Rhinolophus ferrumequinum: one gene and its partner. The protein of the gene in region 1 interacts with the protein of each later gene in a pairwise test. Links are inferred from orthologs where the notes say so. Each region holds a gene or a part of one and is shown in the gene's direction. Other genes may lie near its edges.

What was found.
Region 2: the proteins of ITGB2 (region 1) and CYTH1 interact in a two-hybrid assay, tested with the Homo sapiens proteins (2 studies listed by BioGRID). The link is inferred for Rhinolophus ferrumequinum from reciprocal best matches to the Homo sapiens genes ITGB2 and CYTH1.

Annotation. Positions count from the first base shown.
Region 1 is NC_046285.1:107,942,011-107,949,856, reverse strand, and holds the start of ITGB2 (integrin beta-2), read left to right. Parts: upstream 1-4,804; 5' UTR 4,805-4,952; intron 4,953-7,846.
Region 2 is NC_046304.1:52,556,528-52,564,318, reverse strand, and holds the start of CYTH1 (cytohesin-1), read left to right. Parts: upstream 1-4,747; 5' UTR 4,748-4,913; coding exon 4,914-4,941; intron 4,942-7,791. UniProt on the Homo sapiens protein: Promotes guanine-nucleotide exchange on ARF1, ARF5 and ARF6. Promotes the activation of ARF factors through replacement of GDP with GTP.

The DNA of each region.
Region 1 (7,846 bases):
TTGCAGTTAGCACGGCGGATTGCAGGTAGCAAGTGAGGTTGGTTGGCAGAGAGAAGTGGACGGCAGGTTGTGGATAATGTGGCTCCAGCCGCCAGTGAGACTATAGTGGTATGACTCCCCTATCTATGGCTCCGTGGGTGTTCCTTTTTGGCGTCACCATGTCCTACGTTCTTATGTGGGAGCAGGACCAGAGACCCCGTCTTACACCCTGCGCGACAGAGCCCCGCTGGCCCGTGCAAGGTACGGGTCACTCAGGAGCTGCAGACAGACCTCCACGCACCCGGGTCTGGGGTCCCACGCAGACAGACGTGGAAGGATGGCTTCCAGTATGTGCAAACACCTCCACCCCACGTGGCTCTTGCCAGGTCCTGGAGCCGTCTGCCAGGACTTCCTAGTGAAGCAGCAGGCTCAGCTTTCCGGGTTCCCAAACCCCTAGGATGCATGTTGGAGTGGATAGAGACCTGCGAGCAGCAGAGGTGCTTCTCCCAGGACGGCCAATGACAACCTGGAGCTCCAGACCCGTTGCATTCCAGCCCTGCCGGGCCCTGGTTTAAGGCCCTCATCCTGCAGGTATCTGTGTGCCCAGTGTCAGGCCTTCCTTCCTGGTCTGGTCACGGGGGTTGGCCACCAGCCTCCCAGGTGCAGCGCCCAGCCCCCTGAACCCTGCTCCAGGTGAGCCTTCCTGGGCCCCAGGAATGAGCTCTATCAGCCCTACTCCCCACCATCTCCTCTCCCCCAACCCCTGCCTTGCTTGAGTCCAACCTCATTTCTGGAGGGGAGGCCCCATTCGGGGACCCAGGGGAGCCGGACTGGCTTGGAGGTGACTTGGGCAAGGTAGGGATAACTTCTCCTCCTCCTCCTTCTCTGATCAAAAATTTTCAGTGACTTCCTATTTCCTATAGCATCAGGTCATAACATTTTTCTTGTCTTTTATGATTCTTTGTATTCTTGCCCTACACTAGCACGCCGACATTATTTCCTATTCATTTTAATTCATTCATTTCACTCGCCTTTTGAATGTCATGTGCTAGGAAACCTAAGAAATCCACAGTCCTAGCTGTCTTTTGCTTGTAAGTCGTAGCAGCTTCTGACTGGTCGCTTTGTCACTAGTCTTCTTGTTTCTGTTCTGTCTTCTACTGTCTTCTGCTCGACTTCCTGTGTGAGTCCTCTGGAATGCAGTGTGATCATGTCACACTCCTGACTACAGCCTTCAGAAACCACATCACCACCGTGGCAGGCTCTGCCGGTTAGATCTCAACTGATAATACAGCGGGGAAGGCCTTGTCTGACTTGGCCCTTGCGTATGTTTGTAACTCCATTTCTTTTTTCTAGACAACAACCTTTTACCCTATTCTTGAGGACGACTTGTCATTTTTTGAAATTCTACCCAATTTCTATTCCTTTTGCACATAAAATGCCTCTGTCTGAGGTATCCTTCCTTCCCCCCTTTTCCTGTGAGAACGTGTCCTATGGCCCCTTCCTAGATGAAGCACCAAGGTCACCTTCATTGTGAGGTGTCCTTGCCCCTCTGGCAGAGTCCCTCACCGCCTCATCCGTTACCATAAAGCCTGTCCTCACGTACTGAGCACTTATAGCCGTCACAGTTGTTGGTTCACATAGTTACTTCACCTCTACTAACACAGCGACACCTTACATTGAAGTTTCCTCATCATCCATTCTCCTTGCATCTTGCAACTTTCCCTCATGCCACATATCGTAGTTGGGTTTTGTATTTCTTTGTGGCATTCTTTGGTTAATGTCCTGGTTTGGCACCCCCCAACCCCAGGCCAAACCTGTAGCTTTTTCTCACCATTCAATCTCCGATGCATAGCTAAGTACCTGGCACACAGGCATACGCTCCATACTGTTGAATGAGTAAGTTCATTAGTTGAGGACAAAGGCTTTTTGTCCTTTAATATTTATGTCTGTGTCACATAGCACAGAACTCAACTGTGTCAATCACTAACAAAGCCTTGAAGAGTGTTTTTTTAACACAAAGAGACTCTTTTCTTCCAATAAATCTTATCCGAAGTCCAATATATAGAAGAGATAAAAGCAGGACGGCCGTGTTTGAACACCCCTGCCCTGACTCCCCACAGGTTTCCTGAGCCCCGCCTCCCTGTTAGACAGCGGATGGAAACCACTGTTAGAGTGGAAACACAGTGACACTGAGAGCCGGCGAGTAGACTTACCTTCAAGCCCTGGTCGTAGCTGTGTGACTGGCAGACCATTTAACCACTCTAGTTAACCACTCCGTTTAACCATTACCTTTGAAATGAGAGTTTCATCCTGATGTCCTTGGCGTTTTGATAAGTATATTTAAAAGTTGCGATTTTATCCCAGGCCTTGATCCTCACTTAGGTATCCTCTCTTCTTAGAGGACCCTTGCCTCTGCGTTACCCTGATGCTAAACTTCTCTCAAGCCCATGCCAACTTCCAGCTCATTTAAGAAGTCTTCTCCGGCTAATCCCTGGCTTGTTGCTTCAATAACATCCATCATCCGCAGCAGGTAAACTGGAACCTCACCTCCGGCTTTCCCAGCACAGAGTTTCCGTGCAGAAGCGTGTTTTAGCAAGTACACTGGCCAGATACCCATTTGTTAACCTTCAACAACCTAAGAAGACTTCAGAATATTAAGGTGCATTCCTCCACCTGTGTTATTTACTTTCTGGAGTTAATATGAGAACACCCGTAGAGAGTGTCTTTTATTGATCAGTTAGCTTATTGCAGAGAGCTCATCTTAACTTGCTCGGTTCTGCCTGTCATTGGTTATTGTTGATTGATCACTTGAAAAATCAAACACCTGTTTAATTGCTCAAGTTAGGAGAAACAGAAGAAAACATGCCTAGGACATTATTTGGTGAGACTGAAATTCAAATGAGATTGTATTTACTTACACAAGGGGAACGATCCATTAAGCCCTTCTCTGACCGTTTTTTTTAAATTTGATAATAGAGAAGAGCCAAAGAGAAACCTGCTTTTGCAGTCAGACAGATTGGATTAGAATCAGAGTTCTGCATGCCTTTAGTCAAATCAAAACCTCTCTGGCTTTCTATTCCTTTTTTTTTTTTTTTTTAAGATTTTATTGGGGAAGGGGAACGGGACTTTATTGGGGAACAGTGTGTACTTTCAGGACTTTTTTCCAAGTCAAGTTGTTGTCCTTTCAGTCTTAGTTGTGGCGGGAGCAGCTCAGCTCCAAGTCCAGTTGCCGTTGTTAGTTGCAGGGGGCACAGCCCACCATCCCTTATGGGACTCGAGGAATTGAACTGGCAACCTTGTGGTTGAGAGCCCACTGGCCCACGTGGGAATCGAACTGGATGCCTTCGGAGTTAGGAGCATGGAGCTCGAACCGCCTGAGTCACCGGGCCGGCCCTTTATTCCTTATTTTTAAATGGGGTAATGAATGCCTACTTTCTCAGGCCTTCCTCTGGGAGGATTGGCTGAGCTAGCATATGTTAAAAGCCAGTCACATAGTCGGCACTCCACCAAGGTTAAGTGTGTGTGGTATTTTCTTGTCACTGGAGAAATCTGAGGTGAGCTCTGTATGACCAAAAAAAATATCTAGGTATTTGAGAGCATAAATGCAAACAAACCCATTGATTTTTCTGGCCGGGGTTGTATAAGATGTTTCAAATTGAAGTGATAAGCTTTTTTCCCCCCTTCAGGCTAATTATTTCCATGTTTAAAAACGTTGAAGGAAATTGGAGAAAATATGGGGAATTTGTAACTTTGATTAAAGCGTTTCAAATTTTGTGGGGCTGATTTTTTTTCTTCTGAATTTATTTGGTGGCACACACAAGAAGTGTTCTTCCTGGCGAATATCTTTCAAAGAAAATATAGTTTGATCTAGACTGAAAGACCAACTTGTGTGTGTGTTCTCACGTTTACATCGTGCACAGGACTCACCTGATAATTACGTCTTTCCTCACTCAACAGCTCTGAACAGGGTTTAAAGTAACAGCCCTATGATGCCACGATGGGACATTTGCATAACTGGAAAGAACAGACCTTGGGAAGCAAGTTCATTGGCACACAGGGAAAGCATAGCGAGGAAAACACTCACAGTGCTCATGCAACCACACAGCTACAGAAAAAAATTGAATCACTCAGCATGAAGTCTTGGCTTTGGATACCCTTTGTTTAAATATTGACTTTTGAAATGGGATGAAAATTGATATATGCCATGCTGCCACATCTTTCTCGCAGCAGGTTAAGTGGCGGCCATGCAGTCTTGTTGGTTAACCAGCACTGTGTGGTTTCTGATTTACAGCCCTGGTAATTTTTCTGCTCTGGGAATACATTCCATGAGAACACATACTGCAGTGAAAACTATCTTCAAACTTACCTAAGTAAAAGTGAGAATTCTTCCCATATGACCAGTTTATAAATATTTGGATTTTACCTGGGGAACTTCTGAGCCAGTTTCCCCGTCTCTACAAGGGGGATGCCTCCCGGATCTTTGAGGGTCCACAAGTGAAATGGCAGGAGCACCTGCAGGCAGCAAGCGCTCAGCAGGTTCCAGGACCCGGGTGCAGGTCAGGAGCAAAGGCGGGGACTTCGGGTATCAGGATTGGGTGTCCGGTGTCAGCGTGGACACCGTGCAGCGCACAGGCCTTCGGGTGCCTGAGCCGGGCAGGGGTGACGTCCAGACTCTCCCCGAGCGCTTCCTGCACGCTCCCTGCCCCAGGGACCACGGGGAGGGAAGCGGCACCCCCTCTCCTCTGGGAGATCCTCCCGCGATTCCGGAAGGAATCGGCTGTGGGAAGGAGGCGGCAACTCCAAGGCGTACGGCTGAAACCTGCGGGAACCTCAGCGCGCAGTGGCTCCATTCACCCGCTCGGGGGAGGAAGACTGAGGCAGGCGCCCAGCCCCGCGGATCTGCACCAGGCCTGGTTCCGCGAGGGGCGCCCAGGTCACGCCGGAAGCTTCTCCCGGACCCAGTCGGGGAGCAGGTGAGCGGATGCCCGCGACGGAAGCCCGTGGCCTGTGCCTCTCAGTCACCCGGCGTGATGGAGGCGTCTCGGTCCTGACGACCCTGGGACCGGGGGCCGGGCCTGGCCCGCTGGGCTGTGGTCGCCTCCGCCCGGTGACTGCAGCCTTTGGCTTTGGTTCAGGGACGTCTGGGGTTTTAAACGACCGGTTTGGGTTTCTATGGGGACTTTTGTCATCTGAGCATCTCCGTAACTGGGCGAATTTCCAGCATCCCGCGCAGACCCCCTTGTCCCTTGGGATAGCGCGGCAGGCGCCCACCCTGAGCGCCTCTGCGGCAGGTGGCCGGTCCCCCATGTTCGCGCCCAGGAACGCGACAGAAATCGGACGCGAACGACTGGGGACTTCACTCTTGGGGTGAAGAGAGGTGTCGGACTCAGCCGCGAATCGCGGGGGCTGTTGGGGGAAGTGGTTGGAGCGGGGGTAGGGGCCTGGGAAGGAGGTTGCGAAAGTTGCGAGTTCCCCAAACACGCTCTGTCCAGAGCGGTATGATGGGCGCAGCCCTCGTGGACTGTCCCCGAAGGTGATCTGGCCATCGCCCTCCGGGGGCGGCCCCGAGCCCCCGCCCATCCTTCAGCTGCGTTTCTTTTCTGCCCTGGCAACCCTCTCCCAGCTCCTCACAGGGCGGTGTTCTGGGGTGTGGGTCCCTTTGGTTCGGTTTTGTGTCTAGTTAACTTGATTTATAGTAACATAGTTTGCTGATCATAAAGTTAAATGCAGCCATCGTAGGCGGTTTGGGAACTAGGGAAAATTATTTTCAATGTTAAAACCCCTTTGATCCCGTTGCCCAGAGATGCCAGCAGTGACCAGGATCTGGGCAGAGCATGGGGCCAGCCCCTCTCTGCGCCTGTGGGTTCTCTCCCTGAGTCAGGCAGCCTGTTGAACTTGGGGTTTTCATTGTTGCTGAAATGTGGAAAGGATTATGTCCTCCTGGTGACCACCCAGCACACACACAGCACAGGGGCTCAGCCCCATCCACCCTCTGGGCCCAGGGAGACAGCGTTTGGGCTGCACCCTTCAGGAGGGGCAGAGGGGGCAGCAGGGAGTGCGTGGGGACAGCACCACAGCTGTGTTCAGGAATGAGCCTGGTAAATTGGGTTTGGCTGAGGCAAGCGGGCCAGCTGGGAGGGAGGGTGAAGTGGGCATTCTCTGCAGATCTTGCCAGGGTCAGAGGTGGGAGCCATGTAAGAAAATCCTGCTAACTCTCAATCTGCCAGAAACCCACCTTCTCCTGGGGTGGGCAGGGCACGAGCTCCCCCACCAGGAGGCCTTGGCATCCTCCTGCTTCCTGCTCTCCACACTCAGAGAAGGCCAGGGCCTCAGCAGCACCGTTTCCAGAAGGAAGGGGGAAGAATTTGATTCCTATCTACAACAGGCAAAGAACCCAGAGCAGGAAAATTAGAGTGCTCCCCCAGGTTCAACGTTAAAAGGTAAAGCGGAAAATTCAATGAGAAGAAATTTCTCTGTAAGGCCACATATAGACCTTCCCCTCAAAATAAAAAAAAAATCTGCTGTGATTTTTCCACAGGTTCGTGATCACTGGGACTGCGTCTCATTCTTATTTTTATTACTCACGTCTTTCATTTCTCGGCACCTGCTGTGTGCCAGGGTCTTTGCCCAACACAGAGTGGGATGAGGGCTGAGGGAAACTGAGGTCCAGAGAAGGAAAGGGACCCAGTGTCCTCAGGGCGCCCTTGGGCCCCAAGTGCCAGCTCCATCTCGACCTTCAGCCTCCCCCCAGCCAGGTCCCTGGGGTGAGAGGGGCCTAGAAAGCACCAGTGGAAACCTAGTCCCTTAGCCCAGCATCTGAAAGGGCCAACCTGCTCAGACTTCAGGGGGCTCTCATCCCCAAAGATGGCCCATGGTCAGCATTGGTGGAGACCACTGATTGAGTAGGACATGGCAATTTGATAAGTTCCAGGAGAGAGAGGAGTGACCGAGACCTGGGTGAGGGTTAGGTGGCCCCACAGCTCAGCCTGGCCTTCGTGGTGCATGGCGGGAATGGACTGGAGGGGTGGGAAGGCAGGCCCACCTCCTGTTCTGGAAGCTGAGGCACAGCTCCCCACATCCCACCCAACCCTTTCCTCTCCCGAGCGAGAGCGTGTGTGGTGGTTGGATTTTGCTCAGGTCTCTCCTCATTTACTGTGTGAGTGTTCTGTGTTGCTAAGCAGAAAGCACATACTCTGAGTACATCTTCCTTCTGCAACTTTCTGGTTTTCCCCCAGAGTTGATATTTGCTTAACTTTTTTGCTTACTAATCTCCTTTGAACTTGAAGCCATGTCTTCTGTCCCCAGTCTGTAACACACTTTTCAATGTGACTTTCCTCATGGTCAAGCCTATCAGTTAACCTCTGCATTCTGATGAGCGTGGGGGATCCAGCTCAGGCCAAAGGCCAGCCCCCTCCCCCTACCGCCACCCCTGCCCCTGGCCTCCCCTCTGTGGGTATGTCAGGGAAGCAGGAATGCCACCTCTTCAGCTCCCTCCCTCGGAGGAAGGAAGGCGGAAAGAGGAAGGCAACTGAAAAGCTCTGTGGAGTGGGGCTGGGTGGGAGGAGGGCCTGGGGCGCTGGGCCAGTGTTCAGGACTGTCTGGCTGGGGACCCCAGGCATCTCTTCTCTCTGGCCTGGGTTCCACTTAGGGGTCTCCATCACCCAGGCTGGGCAGCTGTCTGCCTGTTTCTGTGGATTGCTAGGGGATGGGGTGAGAAAGAACTTAGCACAGGCAGGCAGTTTCCTGCTCTGTTCCCCCACCCCCAGGAGAGTGTGCCTGCCGCCCCCCCTGTCACCCCCACAGCTGCCTCTGACAGCTCCTCCCAGCCCCTGCCTCCCACAAAGGGAGCCACAGCTGAATTAACATT
Region 2 (7,791 bases), on another chromosome or scaffold:
ACCCACCCTTTCTCTGTTAGTAGAGGATGTGCTCCACCAAAATGAGCAAGTGATCCAAGAAAGAAAGAAACACAGAACCACAGAAACAGGACCCAGTTTTGGGCAGCGGCTGGGGAACGTCTCAGGACGATGTTGGAAGCAGGCTCAGGCGAGGGGGTGAGGGTACAGTCCATGGATGGCCGTCCCGCAAACAGATCCACGGCGTTCTGACCATGGTGGCAGTTTTACGCCTTGGGGAGAGCTTGGCGATTAATCAGTAAGAGAAGTAAGCAAACAAAAAAGAAGACACTTAACACCTCTGTGGTCATTTTAATCACAGCGCATGGTATGGCTACGCTGTGAGCAATATTTACGAAACACTAACTCCTGATGTAACCAGAAATGTACATGTAGCTACACTGAGTGGCTGCGCGCACGTGCGTGTTGGGGGTAATGGCAGAACTGAAAACTCAAGAATGGATGGTGTGAGCCTGTTATTTAGAAATGCTGAAATAATTAGCAGAAGAAATAGCTGAAAGAGCTTCCTCTACGGAACAGGATTCGAGGGCGAGGGGTAGAGTTGGGCAGGAAACGGTGGTTTCTGTTTTAAGCCTTACGTAATGCTTGCTTTTATATGGTGTGTGCGTGTTGTTTTGCTTAAAGAAAAACACCAGGCACGAGTGGTGAGGAATGAGCCTGGAGAGACCGCAGGGTCAGGTTAAGGAAGGTCTTGAAACGGTGATGAGAAGCATAGACTCGGGCAGATGAAGGGGCCATTGAGTTCTTCAGGAGTGGCTTCCGGCATCGGGTGTTGTAGTGTGCCCTCCATCTCTGCCCGTGTCCCTCCTGCCCTCTGCTGGAGGCCGCCCTGGATGTGCTGTGTCCTCAGTCCCCTCCCTACCAGACTTCCCACCAGTGGCCTCTCCCTGCAGCCACCTCGTCCTGCAGGCCTGGCACTGATAAAGCTGCTCCCTCTCGCTGGCCCTGGGGGCTCCGTCACTCCTGTTGGTCTCCCCAAACTCTGCCCTCACGTTTACAGACAGACATGACTCCCGCTTTGAGTGCAGCTGTGTGTCCTTGGCATTATGACTGATGAGAAAAACCTTTCCCTAGAATATTGCATGAATATTCATGGAAGTGTTCTTGTGTCATTTCAAACCATTACTTGCTCGCATGCTCTCAGCTTATCCTCCACCAGAGGGGGTGAGGCTGGAGTAAAGGATCAAGGCTTATTTAAGGTGTTTCATTAATTGAAAATAAAAAGTGTCTTGGGTGAAAACCCCTGCATGCAAACGGCCTCGTGTGATTTTCAACATGAACAGCTATCGGGTGTGTTCTTCCGCTTTGTTGAGCTGTCTGGTGCTGATGACAAGGCCTGGGCCAGTCCCCTTGCCTCCTGCCTCGTGACTCCGCTGCTGCTCTGCAGCCTGGGGACCTGCTCTGCTTCTGTAGCTCTTGTTCCTTGTTCTTCAAAGTGCTTTGAACTTGGGCACAGCCCCCCTTTGGATAACTGCCCCACCGTCCTTCCCACCGGTGCTGTGCCCAGCAGGGGGTAGGTGATGCCAGGGCTGCCCCCCTTAATGCCTGTTGGCTGATGTCATTCTGAATAGTTTTCAATCTCAGAAATGTCCTCATATGGGTAAGTTACGCAGTCACTTTCCTGATGAGTGAGTCAAACATATAATTGGGTGCTTCAGTAGTTAAATTTCTATTTTAAGGAATTGAAGACGTTACTCGTTCATTACTTCCTTTTTAACAAACAGTGTTATGTGTTGTACTAACTGTGGAGCAACAGAAATCACACAGAAGACAGGGTGGAGTTGGCCCAGGAGTGCCCGCCGTGCTCCCAGTTTTAAGGCCTAAGTGGCAGCCTTTCTGCCAGCAGCTCATGGGTGCTGGCACTGAACCTGTCCTGCAGGCTGGCCTGGGGTCTGTGAGGTGCCCCCCTGTGCCCAAACTGGGATGATGGCCCTGTGAGCCATTTAGTCCCTCTTTTGAGAACGTGAACTGGGCGGCCTCGCAAGAATGCAGCGTGAGTAGTGGAGCAGAGCGGGAAGTCACACAGCCCGCAGCCCGGAGGAGAGAGCGGAGGGGCCGGGAGTGGCCTGAGTGATGGGGGCCGGCGGCTGCGTGAGCTGGGAGGCCCCGTCCTCCTCCTGTCCCGGCCTTCACACCCCATGTGTGGCAAGTCCTCGGTCCTGCCTTCGAAGTAGGCAGAGCGAGAGTTTGACCCCTTCCTGCGGAAGCCACCACCATCCCAGCCGGTCTCCCTGTGTCTGCCCTGTCTGTTCTTCCCCCGCAGCCGAAGTGGTATCTTTACAAAGGAAGTCAGGTCTTCCACTTCATTCCGAACCCTGGCAGCCGCTACCCGCCTCACCCCCAGTGGACACCAGAGTCCTTAAAATCGCCTCCAAGGCCCGGGCAGCCCTCCCCTCCTGTGTCTCGGCTCCAGCCACCCTGGCCGCCCCCACCCCCACGCGCGCAGCTCCACGTGGCGTTACTTCTTGTTTGTTTCCTGCCCTCACCCCCCAGCTCCCCGCCAGGGCAGGCCTACTTCTCTGATGTGTGTCCAGGACGCCGCACAGCACGCAGGTGTTGAGTGAAACGAATGAGGATGAGATTAGAGATTTGACTGCAACAGGAACTCTTCTCTAAGACAGAAGATAACCACAACTGATGCTAAAAGCAAGTGACAAGAGTGTGGGAGAAATATTTACAACATGTACGTTAGTGACCCACAAATCGGTAAGAAAAGATAACTGATCGGAAAATTGGCAAAGGACATGATCAAGCATTTCACAAAAGAGGAAATACCTCACGTTTAGGAAAATATATCAGCATCTCAGTCACAGATCGCTGCAAACTGAACAACTGTGAAGCCATTTTCACTCATAGACGGGCAGAAATGAGGGGTGTCCTTTGGGGGTCTCGGGGAGCCTTGGGCCGGATCTGGGAAAGCTCTGAGCACCGGGCCTCCCGGGCCAGCAGTTCTGCCCGAGGGCGTCTGTTCCGGAGAAACGCTCTTCCACTTGACAGTAAGTAGAAGATGGAAGGGACCTGTCTTCTTCAAATGGGGACCAGCAGCAGCGGAGATCAGCCCTGGTGCCGGCAGGGAAGCTTTAAGCTTTGGCTTGAAAAGGAGCAGAGCCGGGCAATCCCGGGGTTTACTGCAGATGGGGTGGGAGGGAGAAAGCGTAACTGCAACATGGACTTTCGGATTTATGTTAGTTGCCTCTACAAAACAGTGCTTTTTACAAATGTAGATGTACATATTTATTTATTATTAGACAAGAAGGAAAAGGGTGGCCAAGGTCCTGCCCTCGAGGCACCTGTGGCCACCTTCAGATGTGACTGGAGGCTGCGCTCTGGTGTGTCGCTGTGGATGGTGTTTCTGCCCCACTAGGACCCTGTCCAGGACGGCACGGTCACCCCCTACCCCCAGCCTGCTGCAGGAGTTTGCACCCCACCAGGGGGTGGGCCCTGCAGTCAGACGGGGTCAGTGCCAGGTTTGGGACTTTGGGCAAGCTGTGGGACGTCTGTACGTCTCAGTGTCCTCATCTGGGCACGGGCGCTGGAGATAGCACTTGCCTCATGAGGTGCTCTCAGGGTTAGAGGAGCCCGGCCTTGTCAGGCTGGTGCAAAGGGAGCACCCAGGAGTGTTGCCACACGACGATACCCCAGCTGCTGTCACCTGTACGTGTGACTGGCTGAGGTGCCGACCCCTCAGTCTCACCCACGAGCAGGTGGGAGGCTGTGTCTGGATCCCGCTGGGGACGTTGCTGAAGAGGTGGTGACAGGCACGTGCCAAGAAGTACCTGGGTGAGAGGTTGGCACAGAATCCGGCAGCCTCCGGGACGTCTCACAGTAGGGGGATGGCTACATATTCTGTCCATATCGTGAATAATAAAAGTACGATCGGTGTCCATTTTACAGTCATGGAAAATGTTTGTTACGAGTAAAAATAGCTGGTTAAGAGAGAGCATATAAAAGATCTAGTTCTTTCTGTCTATGTATATGTATATATATTTATGTGTATGTATACTTATCTATATGCTTATCTTGAAATAATATAAATATATCGCGAGAGAAATATATGTAATATGTATTATATAGGAGAGATACAGGAGGTACATATATAGATAGATACATGTGTGTGTAGAACATAGAACAAAAGTCTGGAAGAATATAAAGAATATATACCAAAATGTCATCAGTGGGTGTCCCTGGTGATAGGATTAAGGTTTTTGGTTTTGCTTTCCTCATTACTGTTATCTAATTTCAACAACAAACGTATCGTGAATGTAATGAGTGTGCAGAGAAGAACAGCTTGGTGGGGCCCGGGAGAAAATAGAATGGTGGTAAAATTGAACTTCTTCGGAGAGTGTTGCTCTTGGATTTTTTGTTTTTGTCTCTCAAGTCTGCCTTCTGCTTTCAGCCTGTGACCTCATAACATACCGTCTGATTACGATCTTAGTCTTTCCCTTGGGAAATGTTATCTTATTGTGCGAGGCCCAGGGGTTTTCAGTGATTGTGTGCTAAGAAAGCACTTGGGAAAGGAAGAGGGGAACCCATGGCTTTGGTTGAATCTGAGGAAAGAGCAGCAGGGCAGCTCTTAGACTCCTTGGCGTCCAGCCCAAGACTGCTGGTAGGGAGGACGAGGGAGGAGACGGCAAGGAGGAAGCCGCTTGGGCTTCACCTCAGGAACTGGGCGGTGGCAGTGGACGGGTGACGCTGCTTCTGCGGCTGGAGGCTGATTGGCCCAGGAGGGCAGCCGGCCAGCCCCGGGGTTCAGGAAGCAGCTCTGAGCTGTCCTGGCGGGGCAGCCCTCAGGTATTCCTGGCCTGCCCAGCCCTACCTCCCAGGAAAACTTGGCGGAGTTCTCCTTTGAAGAGCAAAACCGAGCCACCTTTGGGGTTCTGCTGTGACGGAGAAAGATGGTCCTTAAAACCGAGGAGGAGAGCGGTGAGTCCGGTCTCGCCGTGGGTGTGTGGAGTGGGGTTTAAGTATCTCTGTTGATCAGTGTGTGAAGTCCTGTGACGACAGTTCCACTGCCCTCTGGGACAAGTGGCAACCCAGACTCTGCTTTGTGTCTTCCTGTTTTCCGGAGGAAGGTGGAGGGCGATTTAGTGTTCAGAGGCTCAGGAGTGTGTGTGTGTGTGTGTGTGTGTGTGTGTGAGAGAGAGAGAGAGAGAGAGAGACAGAGACACACACACTTGGTGTGTTTTTAAGCCAAAGAATCTCCGCCCCCATCTTTGCCCTGGGTGCTGCTTGGCTGAGGGCAGGGAGCGGGCGCTCTGGCTTGGTGCTCCAGCCTATGCTTCCTGCATCTGAGTAAGTTGGTCAGAAGCTCTGGGAGTTGCATGTATGTCCACAGTGAGCGTCACACTAAAAAGAAAAGATGTTAGAGACCTGGTGGAAAGCACACCAGAGAGCTTCAGGGTAAATAGTATCTGCTTGTGTTAGATACAGTGTAACGAAGGGAGCCTGCAGATAGCTCCCATCTTCCTCTTTTGAACTTCCTTCATCTCCTCCACACCCACACTGTAGACAGTGACGCTATGAGTAAAAGGATGACAAATTTTGTGGCTTATGAATCCCAAAAGAGTCTTCAGGAGTGTCTCAAAGCACAGGTCAGGGCTTTACAACGTTCTGGAGTCACAGGTTTGTGTGTGGACGTGTGGATTTTATGTGATGCCTTCACCCCATGGCAGTGTTTTAATGGCACAAGACACAACGGCAAAATGGCTACTGGTTTGTACCTGGTAGGGGATGACATGAGTACGTTTGAAGTAAATACTAGGCTGTGTTTCAAAGTGGATTTTGTAAAAGTTGTAATAAAGTTTGGGAGTCCTTTTATGCTTTTCCTTCCCCGGTTCACTATGAAACACCTTCTAAAGTTTTACCTCTAGTCATGCAGATGACCGTGGGCCGTGTGTGTGGGTTGCTTTGGAAAGCTGTACCGTGCGTGAAAGGCTTTAGGAGAGAGGGACATAAATCGGTGTTTATAATGACAGTTCTGCATTTGAAGAGGGACAGTAAGGAGAGGCAGATCTAGGTCAGGCTGAGCTGCCCGTGGGGGAGGTGTTGTATCCGAAAGGCCAGTCTACGGTAGACTCGAGTTCGAAGGTCTCTAGTTCAAAAGCGGGTACTTTTGAGAGTGAAAAAGGACATTAGGTGTGACCCACTGGCCTGGGCAGATGCTGACTGCTGGTGACCGTGTCCTCTAGACAAGCCTGGCTGTAGACCCACGGAGGGGGCGTTGTTTAACGAACGATGTCATCAGCCTCTAACCGTCCGAGAGCTTTAAAATTCCACACTAGCCATTCAGCGTGTGGCACTTGTTTCAGTGGTGGGGGTGTGAGACACCATTTTAGGGCAGGGACTTCAGACACCAGAGTTTAGGGTTAGATCAATGGGCACCTTTGCTTTGAAGAAGGGGCCTCCAGAAATGAGCGCTTCTCTCCGTTCCTCTAGCCCTCCCCCCCGGGACCTTAGGGGGGCACGTTACCTTTTTAACCACCGCTAAAGCCGCTGCCCCATGGTGTTGAGATGAGATGCAGAAACAGCGTCGGGCACGTGTGCAATGAAGGGAGCTGTGGACTTTCCTTGGGCAGCTCCCCGAGGTCCCAGGAGAGGGAGAGAAGGGAGAGTTAGGTGTCAGCCTTACGCGCACGAGAGCTGCTTTTCCTAGATGTTTAACCCAAAGAGCATGCCCAGTAAAGGGAAGTGGGGGGTTCTGAAGATTTCTTTAAAGAAGTCAGGTCCTCTCCTGATGCACCAAGTCAGAGCCCCAGCCCTTAAGTGACAGTTAGTGCTTTCTGCCTCTGTCCTTACTGGCGCTTTCGCTCATCAGTTTCGGTTGCCGTCTTTCGCAGGTATGTTAGGTGGGCATGGACCAGGGGACTGAATCAGGCACAGCTGTCGTCACTGCCGGAGGTGCGCTTTTAGCTGTTGAATCTTATCTTCGGGATGCTTAGTTCCCCTTGATTTGCCTTTCAACCTCCTCTGTGGGGTGGAGTCCAAGCCCCTCGCTGTGTGGGACACGAGGCCTCACAGTACTCTCTGGGCTCTTCTGAGTGCTGTCCCCGTCCCCACGTGTCCTGGGCCCTGACCTGACCCAGGCACCCAGCCACGCCTGGCCTCCCTGTCTCGTGTGACATGTGGGTCCACACTGGTCTGTGCTGCTCTGTTTGGACAATCCATTCGTCCTCAAGTCCTGTCCCAGAGGCCCGGCCCCTCGGAAGCCTCTCGGCGTCTGTCCCCAGGTGTCCCTGAGTACTGGGCGTGCGCGGCTGCGGTGGCAGTGTGTGGTGCCCAACGGGCTCACGTGCATCCTCCACTGGCATTCACGTTCCACTCAGGGAGGGGCTGGAGCTATTTAAATCCCAGCGCCACGCACAGGCTGGGCCTGTGCACATGCTCAGTAAATGCTGAGCTGACGGGAGCCTGCTTGTAACAGTGAGAGGAAATAAAGAGCCGAGGCCTCAGCCGGGGATCCTGACTTAGTACTAAGCTCCGTTAGCGGCTGACCCGGTAGGTGCTTCGTACTCCGTGAGTCTTCTCTGGAAACGGGAGGTTACACGGCGCATAGTTTATTGTCAGGAAATAGGCATAGTTCATAGTTGGACTTTGTTGTCACATTCAAATAAAAATGGAAATGATAACACATTTTAAGCTATAAGTCACCATGTGAGTATAAAGTATCATTTATAGGAAAAATCTCCAAACAGAAGTAAGTATAGTGCCTCTGCACGAGGGTGTTGATTTTCGGTTGCATCTGAAACACGCACCCGTGGTAACCTCCCACCTCGT